Linked DNA regions of Danio rerio. The protein of the gene in region 1 interacts with the protein of each later gene in a biochemical or structural test. Links are inferred from orthologs where the notes say so. Each region holds a gene or a part of one and is shown on either strand. Other genes may lie near its edges.

Region 1 (10,385 bases):
AATTTTTGATACAGCCAGATATTGTTAGCCTGGTATTTTCATCAGTCTGATCACACATGGATGACACTAAATATAGGTGTAAATGCTGTCTGAAATGTTTTCAGTATGACTGCTTTTCACCACTTTCAAATGTGGTCAAATGCATTAGATTGAGTTGCCTATCAGATGTAAAGGCTCAATCTGTGAAAAGGTGCCAGTTTCTTAATGGACTGGAGCCGATAAGGATTAAGAAATAGCAGTTTTGGTTTTATTAACTAACATTTCAATTAATTAACTTTACAAAAATGATTTAAATGCTGTAGAAAATTATTAAAAATTATTAAAATTAATGTTTTGTTTAGAAATTGCATTAAAATTGTTAACTAATTGGACATTGTGTGTTACTATAAACACTTTTACAAACAAATGTTCCATGATGAACCTTTTGCTGGAACCATCAAAAATTAATTACCAGCAAAAAATATTTAAAATTTAACATGTTTTCCACAAATAAAATAAAATAAAAAGTAGCTATTTCTAGTGTTAAGTATATGGGGAACCAAATGATTCTTCTATTAAGTATATGATACTAAATAAAGGTGTAAATGCTGTCTGAAATGTTTTGAGATTGACCACTTTTGACCACTTTCAAATGTGGTCAAATGCTTTTGAGCGAATTGCTTTCGAGGTGTAAATGCTCAATCCATTAAATGTGTTTGAAGTGCTGCAAAAATCACCTACTTTCTGCCTGCTGACCAGCACCTGAGCATTAGAGGATGTGTTGTGAGAAATCTCACCATCAAAGTATTCATACCTTGCCATGTTGATTCAAATCGCACAGAATTTGCTTGCTTTCCTGCTTTGTCTCAGATGGAAGGAAAACGTCTTGAAAAACCTTTCATCTGTAAATAAAACTCTAATTAAACACACCTGTGCAATCAAATTGAGTCCTTCAGGCTTGTTTCAGGTGTGCTGAAGCAGGGTTGAAACAAAACTCTGCAACGCTACAGCCCTCCAGAAACTGAGTTAGACACCCCTGTTATATAGGGATCGAAATGGAATCATTAGCTCTTTTCCCACAACCATGTCATAAGTCAAATTGGATCAAGAGATCATTTCAGTGTCATCTCTCCACTCGGTATGTCGTTTTATTGTTTCTCTGTTCGTCGGCCATACAAAGGATTACAGCTGTAGGAATCCCCAAATTTATACATAGACGATAAACATCATGCTAACAAAGTATTAAATTTTGTACAAAAATACTTTACAGCTCATAATACCTGTCCATTAGAAATAAAAATACAATATTTCAGGGACATAACTGTGACATTGAATCATAAAGTCATCGTATACTGAAAATGGACACCCACTATTTTAACTGGCAGTGCTTGACTTCACTAAACGTTTCCACAAATGGAACATAAAAATGAGTTTGCTTTTTTTCCTCTCCACTTGACCGGAGTGTATTTGCAGTAACACAGTGAAGTGTCGTGACAAACTTAGGTCAAGGAAAGCGTTGTAATGAAAGTGACAGCTAACTCTCGAATAACGGCTTGGAAACCGCAATTCAACACATAGCAATTACGCAGTTGAGAAACACATCTCAGTGCATGAGTTTGGGGAATGAACCCGTACCTGAAGGCTTATATAAAATAAAAAGACAACAAAAGACACCTTGTCATCATCGCCAGACTTTCTCCATCAAGTGGGCTTTTGTTGAGTTCAGTAGTAGAACCTCAACGTGCCAATGGAAAATGGTGAGTAGACAGGATCTTTGAGCACTGACAACGAGGGTGACGTCACTCAATCAAAAGCACAGTTTCACACGAGTGGGTGAGGGTCTTCATTGCCATTAGCAGCTTTCGTATGGCATATTTTCTTTGCTAGTCTTATTTTTTTTCTCCAAGTAGAGCTACAAATGTGATGTGGTCTACCGCATATGGTAGAATGAATCCACTCTCTCATGATTTGACACTTCTTTTTTTTCTCTTTACAAATGCGTACCCTTTGGGCTTACATAGTCTGAAAAAATGTCAGATGAAACATAGAAAACCATAACAGTACCATATACAAATTACCATAATGATTTAAAACTACTTAAACAATGGAGGGAAGAATACAAAAGTCTTTTTTTTTTTCTCTCATGGATATCAACCCCATGCTTGTGTTTTTGTCATAAGTGGGCACTGCAAATTTAAGCATATGAGATGAATTTGTTCATCGTAATATTCTCATTTATCACAGACAGTGGAGTAAACAGTATGCAAGTACCTACTTGAATGCCTGTCGTTTTCATTTAGGAGATTGATGTTGGAATAAATAAGCTGTTCTGTCCTTTGGGCCAATGATGGATTTCCTCAAAAATTGGGGCGAGAGTCTGGAGACCACAGACCTACGGCGATTAGCTAACAAAGTACAAAGAGTTTCCAAACCCGAATGACCTTCTCTGTGCCATCAATCTGCTTCAGTATATGGTCGATAGCGACCTCATGCTAACCAGCCATCGCTCAAAATCACACACATCCCTTATAAATCATCCACCTCTGTTCATAAAAATAGACATCTGTCCAATTTCAAGATAAGGTGCCTTTGTGCCACCCTCTCCTTATGAGTGACATTGGAATTCATATTTGCGGTGATATAGCAGGCAGAGAACCAATATGTGGTGTTTTCCGTGTAGCCAAGCTCTTTTTTTTTTTTGGACAGAATTACTACAAAATATTCGCATTAAAAGGTCTCATGCATTAGGCTATAACCCACGTTCAGTCACAATTGAAAAATGGCTACCAAATTCATTGTGCTGATCATTTTTTCCCCCCACGCGGCTGCATCTCTTCTCATATCAAGAAAAAAGGGACCAGCTCTGACCTTGGCATCAGATAGAAGGAAATACACAGACATACACGATACACACTTGTGTTTCAGTATCACAAAATAGGAGGGTCGACGGTTGCGTTTGGGACGTGGGACTTTGACAGACTGTGGAGGTTTACGAAATAAAGTCTTCGGACACTCACGCACACTCATTCAAACTCAAAACACGGACGATCACAGAGTGGCCAGTCCGATATTGTAAGTAGAAGTCTCATGTGTTGCTTTTATGCATCTTCTTTTAATCCTCCTTAAAACTAGTGTTTATTGGCAATAAAAATCAGGGATGGCACTGTTTCAGGTTTCCCTCCCCCCACAATTTGGTTTTCCAAGAGGTCAGTGTGGTCTTCGCTGCTTTTTCACAGGGTAAAAACACACCCAGCGTCTCAAGAAAGGACCTCTGTCGTGGTGGTTCATGCTCTGACTTACTGTAGGAAAGGGACTGGGTGTGCTATAGGACAAGGCCCTTGTGTTTTCCTCCACTAGAGAGAGCCGTTATGGGAGGGGAGGGTTCAGTTTAGCACCATGAGGAGAAATGCTCCACTGCAGGCACCAGGGAGGAGTTCTGCTATAAAGTCTTGGTGGGGTCTCTGTCTTCTAGTCCTGCTAATGTGGAGTTGTGCTGGCCCTGCTCCAGCCCTGCGACCGGCTGCTCGAGAGGGTCTCCAGTGTCAGTCCAGTTCACTGTCTCATCATTGGACAACGGGTTCAGTTCTGAGGGCTGTGAAGAAACTGGGTTTCGGCTTATGACTAGATCCAGCTTGTTTCCAGACTCCGCTATTAGGGGAACCACTAAGCAGCAGTCAAAGTCTCTAGTACGTACATGGTTAATCTGTGGCACAAAACAAGGCAAAATTAGCCACACTTCCTTCTGTACTGTCATCCATACTTATTCGGACAGTGGCTCACCTGTAGCAGCCTGTCGTATGGCTTTAGGCCTCCAATTTCAGCAGGGCCTCCTGGACGGATATTGTTAACATAAACCCCCTTCTCCAAGACTCCATCGGACACGCTAAACCCAAAGTCCTCAAGATCCGAGTCTTTCAAAAGACTCACCTGTGAAAGTGGTGGGAGCAGTTACACACATTAAACCGGCTTTAAATAGACTGAATTGATCGAGAAATGATCAATAATCTCACCTTATGAAGCTCTACCGGGGTTGGTGACATGATGTCTTTGATCTCCTGCTTCATTCTCCTCATGGCGAAAGCTTTTCTGCCGACATCAGTGGGCAGCGTGTTGCTGCGGTTGGCCTGTGAGTACTGTGGTTTGTTACTGCCACGTTCCTGAAAGCTGGCCTGACGGCCCAGATGGCTTCGGGTGGGCGCAGGGTCGTGGTTTAGACTTAAAGAGCTGCCCGACATAATGGTGGCCTAGAGGGAAAACCACGAGGAAAGGAGCTGAGTACCAGCCGATATAAGTGCTGGTTATATGAAGCAAAAAACAAATAAAATGCACTTTATAAGTGAAGTCTAGTGTGAGCTGCCATTCAAAAGTTTGGGAGTTTTAAAAGAAGAGAAGCTTTTAATCCAGTAAAGATACATTAAAGCTGCTTTTCCTCTGCTTGGTATGACTTGGCTTAGTTCGGTTTGGCTTGTTTTAGTTTGGCTCACTTTACTTTGGCTTGCTGTTCCGCTGCAGTTTAGTGAATTGAATTACAGACATATCAATATAGTTGCAGTGCCTTTACATTCTGCGTTGCCTTAGCCAGCTTTGGCTGAAACTGCTCGTCAGCTGCCTGAGAAGAACTTCATCTCATCTACTGACAATGACACAGCAATGTTAAGTTGCATGTGACAGTCATTTAAAAGGATGTAGATAGTGGCCATTTTATTTGGACATTCAGTGATTAGTGATAGTCTTTATAGGTCACAATTCAGCATTTATATGTCTCTCTTAGGAACAGAGGTGTTAATAATAAAAAATACACCCTCAAAATTGAGCTGTACTGACTAAGCCATACCATGCATTGGATTAGCATCATACAATTGAGCTCAACTGACAGTAAAGGCATTTATAAGGTAACAAACAAGTTCAAGTTCAAATAACTGGTGGTCTTTTGAATTGTGGATATCAAAGAATCGTGAAAACAATGCATCTTGGCTTACACAAAAATATTGATGATGACCATGTGATAGTGGAGTAGCGATGCTGAAAATGCAGCTTTGCTATCACAGGAATAAAATACATTTGAAAATGCTTTAGAATAAACACCAGTTTAGCCATTGTAAGCGTAAGAAACTTCTTTCTAAACCCCCAAACATTTGACTTTTAGTTTGTGGAAGTTACATTGACAGAGAAACACTCATAAACACTCATTAAACATTCAAAAGCATTTCATTTACAGTTTGTTATGCTTCCTGTTTAGTATGTTACAAGAAGCAAAATGATGATGGACAACGATACACAAACTCTTAGTAACATGCATTTTGACACACTAATGAGTGGATTGAACTGCTTCGACGTCCACCATGGCAAGCCATGGCAGTGATTACACAAACATTATGAAGAGTGGGCATTGTTTTTGTATGTTTCTTGGAGTCATTTGAAGATGATCTTCAAAAAGAACCTGGTTCTGGCCTTTTGCTGAAGACACGACTACACAAGACTAAATTTTCACAACAAAAAAGCCTTGCTGCATCTCCTCCATCATGCTTTGCATGAGCCCACATGCCTTCGTTATCTTCCGTCCACCGTCATTTGCTAGTTTGTGTGACTCTCACTCAAACCGCACGGAATGGAGATTCCAGGTTAATGACAGGTGACCACACAAAAGAGGAAACTCGTCCAAGCCGATGCATTTGTGGTAAGCAGCATAAAAATCATTAAACCGATGATCATACATGTAAATCATGCACCTCGACACCACATTCAATCAATTCAGCATGTGGAAAATGAAAACGTGTGACTTTCGTACAATGTTTTTCAGGCCGTTTCGAGCTCAATAGTACATTTATACTGACACAAACCAGAGGCAAACACTTTCATCGAATCCAATTAGGGCCAAAGGGTACATTCAGCGTAAAAGGCTTTTGATTTTATCGTGTTTCCGCAGACAAGTGGGATGGAAAGTGAAGAGCTTTCACAGCTTGTCCTAACGTTGACTACTAAAAGCTTCTCTGTGCCGTCGGCTACACGTGGCTGGCGTTTAACTCAAGGTACCTGATAAAGTCAAGGCAAGCAAATCAATCTGCTTTCATGAAATATTTCAAGGCTGGCCACAAAGCATGTCAAGCACACCATTGTGTGACATGACAGGTGATTTTATCTACTGTACGAGACAAAATAAAATGCATTCAGCGACAGAATAAAGCCAATTTTTAAGCAATTCTTATCAGTTCAATCAACGCTTTTGTTTCTTTTTTAGTATTTAAAGGGATAGTTCACTCACAAATAATAATTCTGCCATTATTTACAGACCCTCATGTTGTTCCAAACCCATATTATTTAGGACTTTAGTTGTGATGTGTTCTGTACAAGCTCACAAAAGCCCTACAATGGCTTAGTATGAGGTGAAAGATGGAAAATCTTGTCCTTCACAGCTCTCAAACCTCATCTCGATTTGCATCAAGCTAGTAAAAACACAATTCCAACTTTGCACCAATAAAAGGCACTGGATCCGTTACCTGCATTTCACCGTTACGCCTGAGCAAGTCATGAGCGAATACGAGATGCTGAGGTTGATGAGAGATGCTGGGATACTTTCAGGCAGAGCCAAGTGTGGCAATATTTCCATTCTTATTGGCATATTCAGTTCTCGTTAGAGTCATGCATCCCACTAGATGTGGATCTGCTTTATAGTGGGAAGAAAACTGCAATGAGAAACTCAGTCGCTTATCAGACTGATATCAGTGTGTCCCTGCGCCGTCAGAGCATATTTTCTTCACAGCAGGCCTTGCTGTTAACAGGCGAAGATGTTTTTCTCTTGTTTTTCTCATGTGAAACAACAATGCGATAGCCTTAAAATAGACAGAGTTTGTTCATTAGTTTAATGACAGCAACATTCAGTCTTCAGATGGGGTTTTCTATAAGCTCTAAATGAATGAAAATGTTGTTTATTTATTTATTTATTTATTTTTTGAGATAGGTTTCACAGGTTCTTGAAGTTTTTTTGAAAGCATTACTGCTGGTGTGTAAAATATTTGTGTGGAAAGACAGTTTAAAACAATTGAATTGTTATTCTTAAAACTAAATCTATTAATTATTTTATCAGTTATTTCAATTAATAATAGTATACATTTTTTTAAAAGGGCACCTATGAAGAAAATCATGTTTTGAAAGCTGTTTGGAAAGAACTGTGTGTGGGTATAATGTGTCCACAGTCTTATTTAAGTGATAGAAACACATTAAGTCTCTCTTTTTTTTATTTTTTTATTTTTTACATTTTCTGACATTAAAATAGAATCCCTTCTATTTTGAGGCCCACCACAACGTGATGTAGAAATGTGGTTTCACCGCCCACCAAATTGATTGACAGCCATGTATTAACATGTCTCTGTAGTAACGTGTATAATCATATCAACAAGACAGGATGTGCGCAAAGCAACAAGGATTAAAAGATCTCATCGCCTCTCTGTGATCATTAATCATTATCAAATGTGATCATGAATGAGTTTTACAAGTTTAAAACGTTTAAACAGTGCATGTTTCTAATGAACTGCAGCAATTTTATAGTCTTTACTTTATCACACACTGCAAAAAATGCTTTTCTTATATATTTTTTGTAGTCTTTAGTCCAAATATCTTAGACCAAGAAGCTTTTTCTTGGTAAGCAAAACATATTGTCTTGTTTTCAGAAATAATATGCCAACATTAAGTGAGTTTTCAATTAAAACAAGCAAAATACTCTGCCAATGGGGTAAGCTAAATAATCTTGTTTTTCCTTTTGACATAAGAATATTTTGCTCACTCCATTGGCAGATTATTTTGCTTGTTTTAAGGAAAACTCACTTCATTTTAGCATATTATTTCTGAAAACAAGACCATATGTTTTGCTTGTCTAGAAAATTCTTCTTGATTTACGAATTTTGAGATATTTGGACTAGAAACAAGACAAAAATTCTAAGAATTCTTTTTTGCAGTGCACAGCCGTATGTCAGTACAATTATAGAAGAAAATGCTTCAATCCCGAATTGTGGACGTTAAATTGGGTTTATTTTGTACATTAACATAACGGCTATACATACAGCAGTGGATATTAATGTGTATCCTGTCACTTTGCATGCAAAAACAGTGCAAAGTTAAACGCGCGCGATGTGTGTGTGTCCGATTTGTCCGTTCCGAACTTTGTAATGACATTATGTGTGTTACTCATCAATCTCATCAACTCCAAAATGTCCTTCATGTCTGTCACTGTGCTGTTTATTTGACACAGCAGGAAAATTGAAGCACGCTCTTACAGGCATTTGGGAACGGTGGATGGGGAGAACTAGCATTAAAGGCGCAGGCAACAAAAACAGCTACGTTGTGTTCAAAGCAGAACATTTCAATATTTTAAAAGGTATAATAAATAATCTGATGGGTGTTTTGAGCTGAGACTTTACAGACACATTCTGGAGACACAAAAGACTCATCTTAAATCTTGAAAAAGGGGTAAAATAGGTGCCCTTTAAGTGAAGTAATATTGTTTTATACCTTTAATGTCTTCATTACTCCAACTGTTTTTCCTTAACCTAAACATAAATGAGCTTGGAACGACATAACTGTGCATAAATGTGGACTGAATCTGGGTGAACTAAGCCTTTACTACATAGTACTGCGTTTTGAATGCACCCCTAGGATGTGAAGTGGATGCCAATAGTGGTTGTCTGTGAGCCCCAACACCCCAACCCTTTCAAGCAGGCCCCCAGCAAGAGACACTGAGCCCATTAGCACGAGGAGAGCACTTGGGTGCCAGCGCTACAAGCAAAGAGGAAGCCCAAAGAAAGGAAAGGGGTACCAAGATGGCCAGGTTTCTCTTATTCAGAAGCCTGTCTGGCTTGTCCTGGAAAAAGAAGGAGCTGTTACACAAAACCAAGGGTTGGTACAGCAACATGCAACTGGAAAAAGTATGGGATAGAGGGAATTGATGAATGAAAAGAGCTAAAGTTTGAACACAGGGAGAGGGGAATGGACAACTTTGTTCTCCTAAATTACCTCAAGCTCTCGCAGGATTCCCGATTGACCACACGTCTCCAGGTCTTCCAGCGCTTGTGACCAAAAGTTCTCCTCCTGGTCTGGTTCCGTCCCATCGTGTCCCACAGTGAACCTGTTGGAAACACAACGGGACATTTAAATGGTTTTGCGTGACAAATGAATGGTTGCCAATGAGCAGGCAGGCATCACAGTGATGAACGCAAGGCACGACCAATGATCTGTGCAGGCTATGGTGAGGCTCTTTGAAGAGAGAGACACATAGAGGTCGGACACACTGTGATGGGCGGTGATGTCCTGGTGGGTTGTGGGGCTTTGGGTTTATGGAGTGAAAGGGCCGGATTGGTTTGGGTTAAGCAGTGCAGGTTAACAGGCACACAGCACTGAACCTCACCTGCTGTCTGAGATTAAACCGGTGGGCAGCGTGGATGCCCTGAAATGAAGATCAGCTTCAATCAATAACACAAACGGCAAACCAGATCACTCAGTCTGTCACAGTGCATTATATTTTATAAACCCCCAGCTCATAAAAGGTAACTGTTTTATTTTTTGGCTGAATAGAATGAATTTGTACATTTTCATTCATACAAAAATTTTAAATTTTTGAAAGGAATAACCCATTCTGATCACCCATTCTGCCATGCAAATGCAAAAGGCAGTAACTTCGTTTTTGGATGAAAAGGAGTTATTGATATTTTTTTGGGACATTCAAGACCTTCTTTTTTCATGTGGGTGTGCATCATTATTGTGAAAAGTGCTATACAGGTCAACTTGAATTAAATTTTGTTGTTTTCCATCATTGCCAGATTTCTAGTGTCCTAACTATAACTAATTTTAATTAATGTTGAATCATTTATCTGTTACACACTCTAGCAATGTAAAGTCTTTTGCATTTATAGGGCTAAATACACGCAGTTGAAGTCAGAATTATTAGCCCCCCCCCCCCTTTGAATTTCTTTTTTCTTTTTTAAATATTTCCCAAATGATGTTTAACAGGGCAAGGAAATTTTCATAGTATGTCTGATAATATTTTTTCTTCAAGAGAAAGTCTTATTCGTTTTATTTCGGCTAGAATAAAAGCACTTTTAAATTTTTTAAACACCATTTTCAAGGTCAAAATTATTAGCCCCTTTAAGCTATATATTTTTGATAGTCTACAGAACAAACCATCATTATACAATAACTTGCCTAATTACCCTAACCTGCTTAGTTACCCTAATTAACCTAGTTAAACCTTTAATTGTCACTTTAAGCTGTATAGAAGTGTCTTGAAAAATATCTAGTCAAATATTATTTACTGTCATCATGGCACAGATAAAATAAATCAGTTATTAGAAATGAGTTAATAAAACTATTATGTTCGAAATGTGCTGAAAAAAATATTTCTGTTAAACAGATATTGA
Region 2 (9,388 bases), on another chromosome or scaffold:
GAAGAAATAACCGCCCTTTAATTTTGTGTTATGGTCGTTTATGTTCATTACCTTTAATTTAATGGGCTAGTTTTGAGTTTGTCATTCAATATTGAGTAATTTAAGAGTGATCATGCTTTACTGTGAATTGATTTGAGGTTTGCCTTACAACCCTTGACTGCTTCCTTTTCTTTCAAGTCTGTTGTTTTCCTTCATTGATGTAATTTAAGAGAGAAAACACCAGTGTGTGTGAAATATTTAATTTTCCTTTCCTGAACAGTTTTTTTTTCTTTTTTTGGTTTATGACACCATTGATTAAAATCTGACTTGTCAGGGTAAATCTTGTCATTTTGAGCTTGTTCGGGTTGAATGAGGACATTTAAATTACAAATTACATTACATGAGAAAGTCTTTCAACCATGTTCCTGGAGGTCCACCAACACTGCATGTTTCGGATGTCTCGTTTGTCTGTCACTCCCATTACAGGTCTTTCAGTCTCTGTTAATGAGCTAATGATCAGAATCAGGCGTGTTTGGTTAAAGAGACATGGAATATGTGCAGAGTTTGTGGTTCTCCAGGAACATGGTTGAGAAACACTGACATGGTATTGAAGCAAAGAGGGAAATTTCTGTCATTTGCTCACCTTCTACTCATTTATGAATTTCATAGGAAAGAGAAGTATTTTTCATTTAAAGAATTTTGGTGCATACAGATGTATGGAAAACTTTTGAGACATTTTACAATTTCTTTTTTCATTTTCACAATAGAAACCTTGTTTTTTTTGTTTTTTTTTTAAGTAATGAAAGTGAGTAAATGACAGCATTTTTTTGTGTTTGAAAGGAATTTTACTTTTCAAAAGTATTTGAAGGACATCTTACCCAACAATTCTATATTATCGTTCTGAAATCTTGACTTGTTTCTTCCACCAATCTAGTTTTTTGTTTGTTGTATCCAGTAAAAAGTGGACAGTGACTAATGGTTGACAGGTAAAAATGCCAAAAAGCACCTTAAAAGGAATCCCTATGACTGGATCCAATACAATAAAATGATACAATGGCTTTCTACAGAAACAGTCTTAAGTCATAAATGAAACTGCACTGCCTAAACTATGTAAAAGTCATTACGTTTCCTCTTATGTTCCTTAAAAGATGTCATGTGGGTGCACGCAATGTTCCATGGGTTATCAAAATGGCTGACATGAACTAATAATAGGGATGCACTGATCAGGATTTTTGCAGCCGATTCAGAATACCGATCCTTTGTTATTGTGATTGGCCGATATGGAGTACTGTTTCTGATGCTTCAAGCTTCATAATGCATTTTTCTTCCATGTATGACACTTAAGTGGAGATCTCGCCTTATCCAAGAGAATAAATTAAGAATGCTGCACATAATCCCTTAAAGGCATCTCTCATAACCATTGTGTGGACATACCATGGCCAGAAGCAGCTTTACAGAAAATAATATAACACAGATATAAAAACTCCTCTGCATGTGAACTCATCAACAAACCACCTGCGATCGGTTCATGAGATCAGCCAGATTGGCGAACACCGTTCAAGTCATTAAATGTGATTATCGGCCGATACCAATCTTCAGCAGATTGATTGGAGCATCCAAAACTAAGAAGTAATATTTTTGCAGCTTACCTTAGTAAATGTTGATTTCTAAATGCAATATTCACCTTATTCTTCCCGTACGAGCGATTCCTAGTCATTTCTGTCATAGGCAACTGAAACGGAAATTCTAAAACAATAGCAAAAACAATCGCATTTCCACATTGAAGGATAAGGTAAATAGCACTTCAAGTTGTACAGTGCTAATATAAATACATTACATACACATGAAGAATAGTATAACCAGGCATTACCTTAATAAATGGCTTATAAAATGATTCATTCGTAACGCCAAACTAATAGAAACAAACTGAACATCAATATTACACGTTACTGTGTTTGTAATATTCTTAATCATCTATAAATCATCCAGAAGGTGAGACTTTCCTGCTTTGTGTGTGCAGTCGTCAAAAAACAGAACAAATGCTACTATAAGTAGCCACTCGCATGGACTTCTCCATCAACATTTAATATGCTCCTTTTTTTGTCTGTTGCTTTTTTTGTGAAAGAAAACAAAAAAACGAAACAAAAAGTTAACTCTACAAACTACCAGACAAGGTTGTTTTTCCATCTCATGATCCTTGCTAAATCAAACCAAATGAACCCCAAAACAAAACCAAAAAAATTGAGTGGAAGCGGTGCATACGACTTCAGAGTCTTGGATGGGGTAATGGTCAAATCCCCAGTGAAGGAGTGAAAGGAGGAAAGCTGGAGCTGCTCAGGCGTCACTTCATCTCCTCCTTTCCTCAACGAGTCTCACAACACACAGAAGTTCAGATAAGGGTTTACTGGGGGGGGCGGGGGCGTAAACTAGGATACTGCAATTCCCAAACAGTTGTCCTGCTGCTGTGGTCAGTGTGTGCGTGTGTCCACAGACCTAACTGTTTTTTTATTTTTATTTTATCATTCATGCATCAATCTTCCTCCCCCCCCAGTGCTGACTGTCCATCCCAGCATCTACCCTCCTTCCCTGGCTGGTAGTGAAGGGTTTGGTGCTGGTCTTTGTATTCCTAAACCATTTGTGTCCATATAATTGTCAGCGAATCTGCCAAATGATGAAGTCAGATTTGCGTGGTGTTGGAGTCTCGATTAAACCATGCTCAGAATTCACCTCGGGGAACACCAAGCGACACACGTCAACTGCACTACATTAAAACACACAGTCAGAAATGGAATGGAAAGAAAGACGATCTCTATCTACGCTATGGTTGTCTACAGGCAGGATCCAGCGGTACTGCGCTAGTAGTCGTAATGAAGTCTGCGAGCATCTACAGCACGTGTCCGTCTCTTTCTCGAGAGGCCTGGACGAACATTTAGGTCAACTCAAGATGGCCGCCGAAAGCCCATGCTGAGAGAAGTTGATATGCGACGGCCTGTCCATGTTGCTGGAAACGTTAAAAAGCCAACGGTGAAGTGAAGGTACGATGAAGATCCTCGAAACTCAAATTCATATTAAGAGTCAATGATGGAGTTTGTGAAGCTAAAAAAGTGGGAGTTCATGAAGGGTGGGAGGGGGCGTGCACATTTGTAAAGCATTTATTTAAAAAGAAAAGAAAAAACAAAAGTGTCCCATCGTTAGCGTTCTGACCGAGTCCTTTGAGTTGAGTCTTGAGTCTCTGGTTTGTGCTTTTTCAGCATGCTTACAGACAAGTGCTGCCTCCTAGTGGCTGGTTGTGGAGCAGGCGCTGCATGTGGCTTTGGAGGAGGGGGATTTGTGAGTAACAGTGACAACTCAGGCACGTTGAACTGGCCAAATGCCTGCGCACGCTAACATTATAGGGCCGCGGGACGGATATGTAAGAATAAAACGCCAGTGAAAGAAATTTTAGAATATATACATATAAGTATACATGTATATCTATATATATATATATGTAGAGACAGAGAGAGAGTATAAAGTGATGGTCAGAGACTGGTGCACTGGTTTTGGTTTTCTGAATTTGGCTGTTGGTTTGCAGGGGGGGTAAAGGGGACGTTTGGAGAATCGGACATGCAGAGGCCGTCCCCTCAGCCTTAGCTCCCGTAGTGCATGGTGTTGCTGGGGATGGCCATTGGAGATGCCATGGAGATCGCCGGGCCGCCCATGGTGAACTGGTTGGTGACGGGGTAATGAAGACTGGCGCTGCTTGGACCCTGCTGCGCAGTTGTTGCCCCTGAGAAGAAAAATGCAACATTATAACCTTTGTATCTCAGAACATTTAATGATCAAGGCCTTAAAGTGCTCACATTGTGCCATCTTAAAACTTTGTGATTTATAGAGATGTGAAGTTTGAATCATTTTACTGACTTGGACCTTTGAGTCTCGTTTGTTGAGATGAACAAATCTTGTTTTTTTTTTCTTGAGTCATTTCGTTCAATTTGCCTAAAATATTAAAAGGCTACGAGTTGCTTTAAAACTCATCTATAACTAGCCCAAACATTCATCACACTACAAACAAGTCATAACTAGAATGCTGTAAGAAAGTAATGTAAACACTTGTTTGTAGAGAAAGTAGTTTGATCATTTTATTATTCCAAGTCATTTCTCTCATAGACGACTGAATCGGAAGTCCTAAAACAAATTGCAAAATGAGCGCACTTCCGCATTACAGAATAAAGTCAATAGCACTTCAAGTTGAATAGTACTTATATTAATATATTACATACAAATGAATTATAGTATAACCTGGCACTGATTGAAATGATTCATTTGTAACACCAAACTAATTTAAACAAACTGAACATCAGTATAAAGAGTTACTTTTTTATAAGATTCTTAATCTACAACTCATCCAGAAGGTGTGACTTTCCTGCTTTGTGTGTGCAGTCGTCAAAAAAACAACAGATACTACTGTTAGTAGCCACTCGCATGGACTTCTCCATCAACATTTAATATGCGCCTAATAGAGAAAATAATCATTTCTTGTTTATCTGCTCTTTTGTCTATGATCATGTCAGCTCACCTTTTCTGACAGCTTAAATTTGAGTCATTCGTTTACGTCACACAGACAGTTCCATATAAGCTTAACCAATGCACACAGTCTGCGCTGAAAGGAGCCATGATTAGTTCACCTTTCAAGTTTTCTGGTTTTTGAGTCGTTCGTTCATCATGTGACAGCATGTAAAGCATAGGTCACAAACTCAATTCCTGGCTCTGCACAGTTTTGCTCCAACCCTAATCAAACACAGCTGATCCAAACAATCGGAGAGGGTGCTCGCTGCAGAGCCATTTGAGCAGAGCTGAGCTCCAGCGAGGGGGAGCATGAGCTCTCGCTCCTCCTCCTGTAAGCTGTTTTAATGCGTACACCAACCCCACCCCTAACCCTACCCCCAGTGACATCACTCGTAGAAGAAGTGCAAAAAAGGTGGAGCTCAAGCTCAAGCTCCCCCTCGCTGGAGCTCAGCTCGCCCAAATGGCTCTGCAGCGAGCACCACTTGAACAATCGAGTTGCTCAAAAAGGTTTAGAACACCTTATTTAGTGGCATCAGCTGTGTTGGATTAGGGTTGGAGCAAAACTGTGCAGAGCTGCAGCCCTCCCCGAATTGACTTTGAGACCTATGATGTAAAAAACAGTCGAACAGTATTCAGGTATACAGTAATTGAATAATCAAATGTACAATAATACTGCATAGTCTTTTATTTAAAAACTCAATAAAACTTATCATGGTTAATTTGTTAAGGGCACAAACAGTACAATATTTAAAGCCTGAATGCTTTTAAAACTCTCAAAAAGTCCTCAAAAAAAAAAAAAAACTTGTGAAATAATAAATTATAATTCAGACTCAACATTGCATATTCTCGCGATGTGACTATTGCAAATGATCAGATTGTGATATCGATCCTGAATTGATACATTGTGCAGCTCTACAATAAAGCACATAAGAGCACTTTAAAAGCTGATGTGCAGCAAATCATGTTAAAAACTCTACATAAATGCAATCATTCATATTCAAAATAAACAATTGACTTTATTAACATTTCTTGTTTTGCTTGTAAGAAAGCTTATTTGTATGAAGTAGTTGATCAAAGTCTCCCTATTTGTTTAATATGACATGATGGTGAGAAAATCATACATTTAAAGAGTGATGTACATTTCTAGAAATAGACACTCACCCTGGACGATTCCTGTGCTCATTATAGAGCCCATTCTGGAGTGAGTGTGGTTCACGATCCCCGTGTTCACTGGAGAGGAACGAACACAAACAAACCCCTCTTCAATTTACACAGACAATGTCATCTACATCAACACCTTAATACTTGGAGACTGAAACAGAGTCTTAAACTAAGGCTTTTAGAATGGATATTAAAGGGGTCACATTTATTTATTTTTATTTCCACAAGGTCCAATTATAAATGGCATTTTCTGATCATCCAACAGTAGTCAATGAATACTGCACATAGACTATATCAAATGCCTTCCACCAACAAAACTCATAATGGGCCATTCAAGTAGCTTTATAGCTTAGCTTTAAAATGGATTTTAAATGTTTTGATGTATGCAAGTAACAGAAATATTAACAGGGTTCCCACTGAAAGCCAAATGTCAAATTCCCTGACTTTCACTGAGTAAAAAGCTGAATTTTCATGACCTTTTATGAACAGAAAAAACAGGAAGCTGTTGTGTCGAGCGGTCCATCCACATTTGGGCAACCAGGACATGGATCAGTTTTATATTAAATAGCATATTCACATATAGAAAGTGCTCAACTAGTGTGTGATCTCTTGAGCCGTCATAGACACGGTACACTAGGGCTGGGCGATATGCCAAAAACCTAACCTTATTATTATCCATATTGAATGATAATGATATATATTAACGCAAGTTGATAATGCTTTCAGATTTAAGAGTACCCCAACAATGACTGAAGCCACAAAAATCAGAGAGTCCATTACCAGGGTATATGCAGGAACCCTCATTTGAATTAAGACTTTTTAAAGACCTTCTCTAAATATTTTAATACTTCATCGCCAGTTCAAGTTCAACTAATGAAAGTTCTAGTAATGTGGAACCAAACCTTTAACTTAATTAACAGTTGTAGATAAAAAAATTAAATGGAGCACAACCATGCAACAGAACACGGATAAGCTCGGAAGGAACAAAGCATGAAATACAAATTACGTGGTTGTTTTCAGCGACAGGCTTCAGCCACTGTTTACACTCATCTTTCCTCAATTAGAGTACGCAAACTTACATTTTACCAACTGTTTCACTCTATGGTTTTGCTACATGCGAAGAGTGTCACATCACCTTCCCACGTTTGTCGCAGATTACATCACCCATGGAGGAGCTAGAACACACCGCAGCACGAACCAATGGCATTGATCGAGTACGCCGTTGTTAATATTAGGAGAAAAATAAATATATTTATGCTTTTTTGGAGTCAAACACTTTGGACAACGCTTGAACAAAATTTAAGACCTCGTAAAATGTGACTAAGACTTTTTAATCCTTTTTAAGGGCCTTAATTTTCTCATAACTGATTTATCAACTTAATACTTTAAGACCCCGCAGACACCCTAACTAAGTGATAGAACATTTTTGACTGATAAATTTTCAGTGGCCAAAAATTCGGTACATTCTAATTTTAACTCACTTTTAGATTCCCATAGCTGTACATTTCTGCTCTGTGATTGGCTCTAAGATCAATAAAGAGTGAAAAAGTGCAGAGTCTATCAATGTTTTTGACATAAATTTGATCATGACTGATTAAAATAGCATTTATTGGACTAGCCCTACGGGACGGTACAGTATGGTATGGCATGGCACTGCACTTCTGCACTTAGGTCTGTGACGTGTTTCACATCAAGTTGTATTATTGCAATGAACATTCAGCCACAGCAAAAACAAACAAACAATTTCCATACATTTATGCTACAATAATAAAAAAATTTCCCCTACAAAACTCAGGAAGGACTGGTTGAGCACTGCGCAGTTAAAAACAGCCACAAGTACAGCATGATGAATGCATTTGATTGGTGATAGCAAAGTAAAAAAAATAAAATGGCAGTGAAAAATAGCCTAACCATAACAACAGGCAAAACCATGTGAAACAACACATCAAACATGGTACAGAAATGGGAAGTTAAATGACAAATAAAAGTCCCTGATATTCCATGACTTGACATGAAAAATATGTAAAATTCTCTGACTTTTAATGACTTGAATACCCTGATAAAACTCCATAATATTCCAGAAATGTCATGACCTGTGGAAACCCTGAATTGAAACGGGATCCTTCACGATGTGGCCCCTTTAATACTTCATGTAATTTCTTTAAAACTTCAGTTGGGATCTTAGAGGGCTAGAAAGTATTATGTGTATTTGTGAGCGTGTGTGTAAATATCCATACGTGCATGCGTGTCTGTACCAAGGGGGATGAGATTGTTGTGGGACACGGTTGTCCCACTGCCACCAATGACAGTACTGAGGTCATAGGCTGTAGGCATCCCTGAAACACAAAGAGAGAGAGAGAGAGAAACATCTGAGTCGCATCACAACAGTCAGGGTTCATTTTACCTTTACTTTCAGGTAAATATTCATGATCTAATGTGTCATGCGAAGTCTCTGTATACAAGGTAAATAATAAGTAAAAATGCATGTGCACTTTCAACACAGCATTTCATAAAATATGTGACAATACATGCAATTTATATTTATTTTATGTCTATGTAAAATGTATGATATATTATTTTATTTAACATTGATGTGTGGAAGCATTATGTGAGAGCATGTGATTGGCCAAGGCTATACCATTAATTGTAATTTCTACACACAATTTACAAATAATGATAAACATTACTGATAACAAATGATAAAACTAATAACAAAAAAGACAAATCCTTCATAACATTAATAATAAAAGCTTAAATCAGTGTTAACTATAAGTAAAGATTGGAAGGAGGCTAAATACTATATGCACCTATTTTCAGAAAATAAAAGTTTCACACTTGGCAAACCAAAACACAAGGTATTACGATAACTCAATTCTGACTCCAGCTATTTTATAGTTTAACATAACATTTTTAAATAAATAGATTAACTGGTTCATGTTGATATTAATATGATTAACAAACAGCATCACTTCACTAATTAAGCAATAATAACTTTCAGAAAAGAAATGTAAGGTACCAATCCAAAATACCAATCTAGGGTAAAAACTGAAGAATACTGTGGGCTCCACTAGATGGGGCCACTTGCTAGTGCTGCACATCAACCCACATGCAAGAATAATATTTAATAATTTGACATTATTTTGTTAACCCTTTGTTTTAACATGACCTATAAAACATAAGTTAGTGTATATAGCAAAAACCCTGACAAATATCACTGACAAATATCTTCTATTGCAAAATTGAGCTTATGTTAAAGTGAAACCAAAATCCAGTTACTTCAATAGGTTACATATTAAACATTTATGATAAAACACTCTGTTCCGATAAATTTGCAGAAGGCGGTTTCTATAAATAAGGACAGTCCTCAAGTACATAAATATGAGAGCATGCATTCACCACATACAAACTACTGTATAGCTGATATCTTGCCGTTTGTGTGATCATATTTTAAAAAATTATAGACTTATAAGAATACAAATTCAACAGTATCTTGCCTCTGCAGTTTGCGATTGTTTCTGAGCACAGCACTCAACATATTCCTTGACTTAAGTATAATTAATTTTCTTTTAAGCTCACGAAGACAAAGTCACATTGAGAGACCGACCGCACAATTATACATAAAAATGTAACTAATAATACCAATTAAAATGTTTTCGAGTATACACATATTTGTTAAACAAATTTCCATGACTTTTCCAAA

What was found.
Region 2: the proteins of grip1 (region 1) and carm1 form a complex in vitro, tested with the Homo sapiens proteins (2 studies listed by BioGRID). The link is inferred for Danio rerio from reciprocal best matches to the Homo sapiens genes GRIP1 and CARM1.

Annotation. Positions count from the first base shown.
Region 1 is NC_133179.1:13,608,331-13,618,715, forward strand, and holds the end of grip1 (glutamate receptor-interacting protein 1), read right to left. Parts: intron 9,416-10,385; coding exon of another isoform or gene 9,377-9,415; intron 9,098-9,376; coding exon 8,986-9,097; intron 8,834-8,985; coding exon of another isoform or gene 8,789-8,833; intron 4,224-8,788; coding exon 3,990-4,223; intron 3,907-3,989; coding exon 3,760-3,906; intron 3,683-3,759; coding exon 3,419-3,682; downstream 1-3,418. UniProt on the Homo sapiens protein: May play a role as a localized scaffold for the assembly of a multiprotein signaling complex and as mediator of the trafficking of its binding partners at specific subcellular location in neurons.
Region 2 is NC_133178.1:33,018,419-33,027,806, reverse strand, and holds the end of carm1 (histone-arginine methyltransferase CARM1), read right to left. Parts: intron 8,025-9,388; coding exon 7,926-8,024; intron 5,758-7,925; coding exon 5,689-5,757; exon of another isoform or gene 5,201-5,688; intron 4,598-5,200; exon of another isoform or gene 3,749-4,597; coding exon 3,609-3,748; 3' UTR 3,424-3,608; downstream 1-3,423. UniProt on the Homo sapiens protein: Methylates (mono- and asymmetric dimethylation) the guanidino nitrogens of arginyl residues in several proteins involved in DNA packaging, transcription regulation, pre-mRNA splicing, and mRNA stability.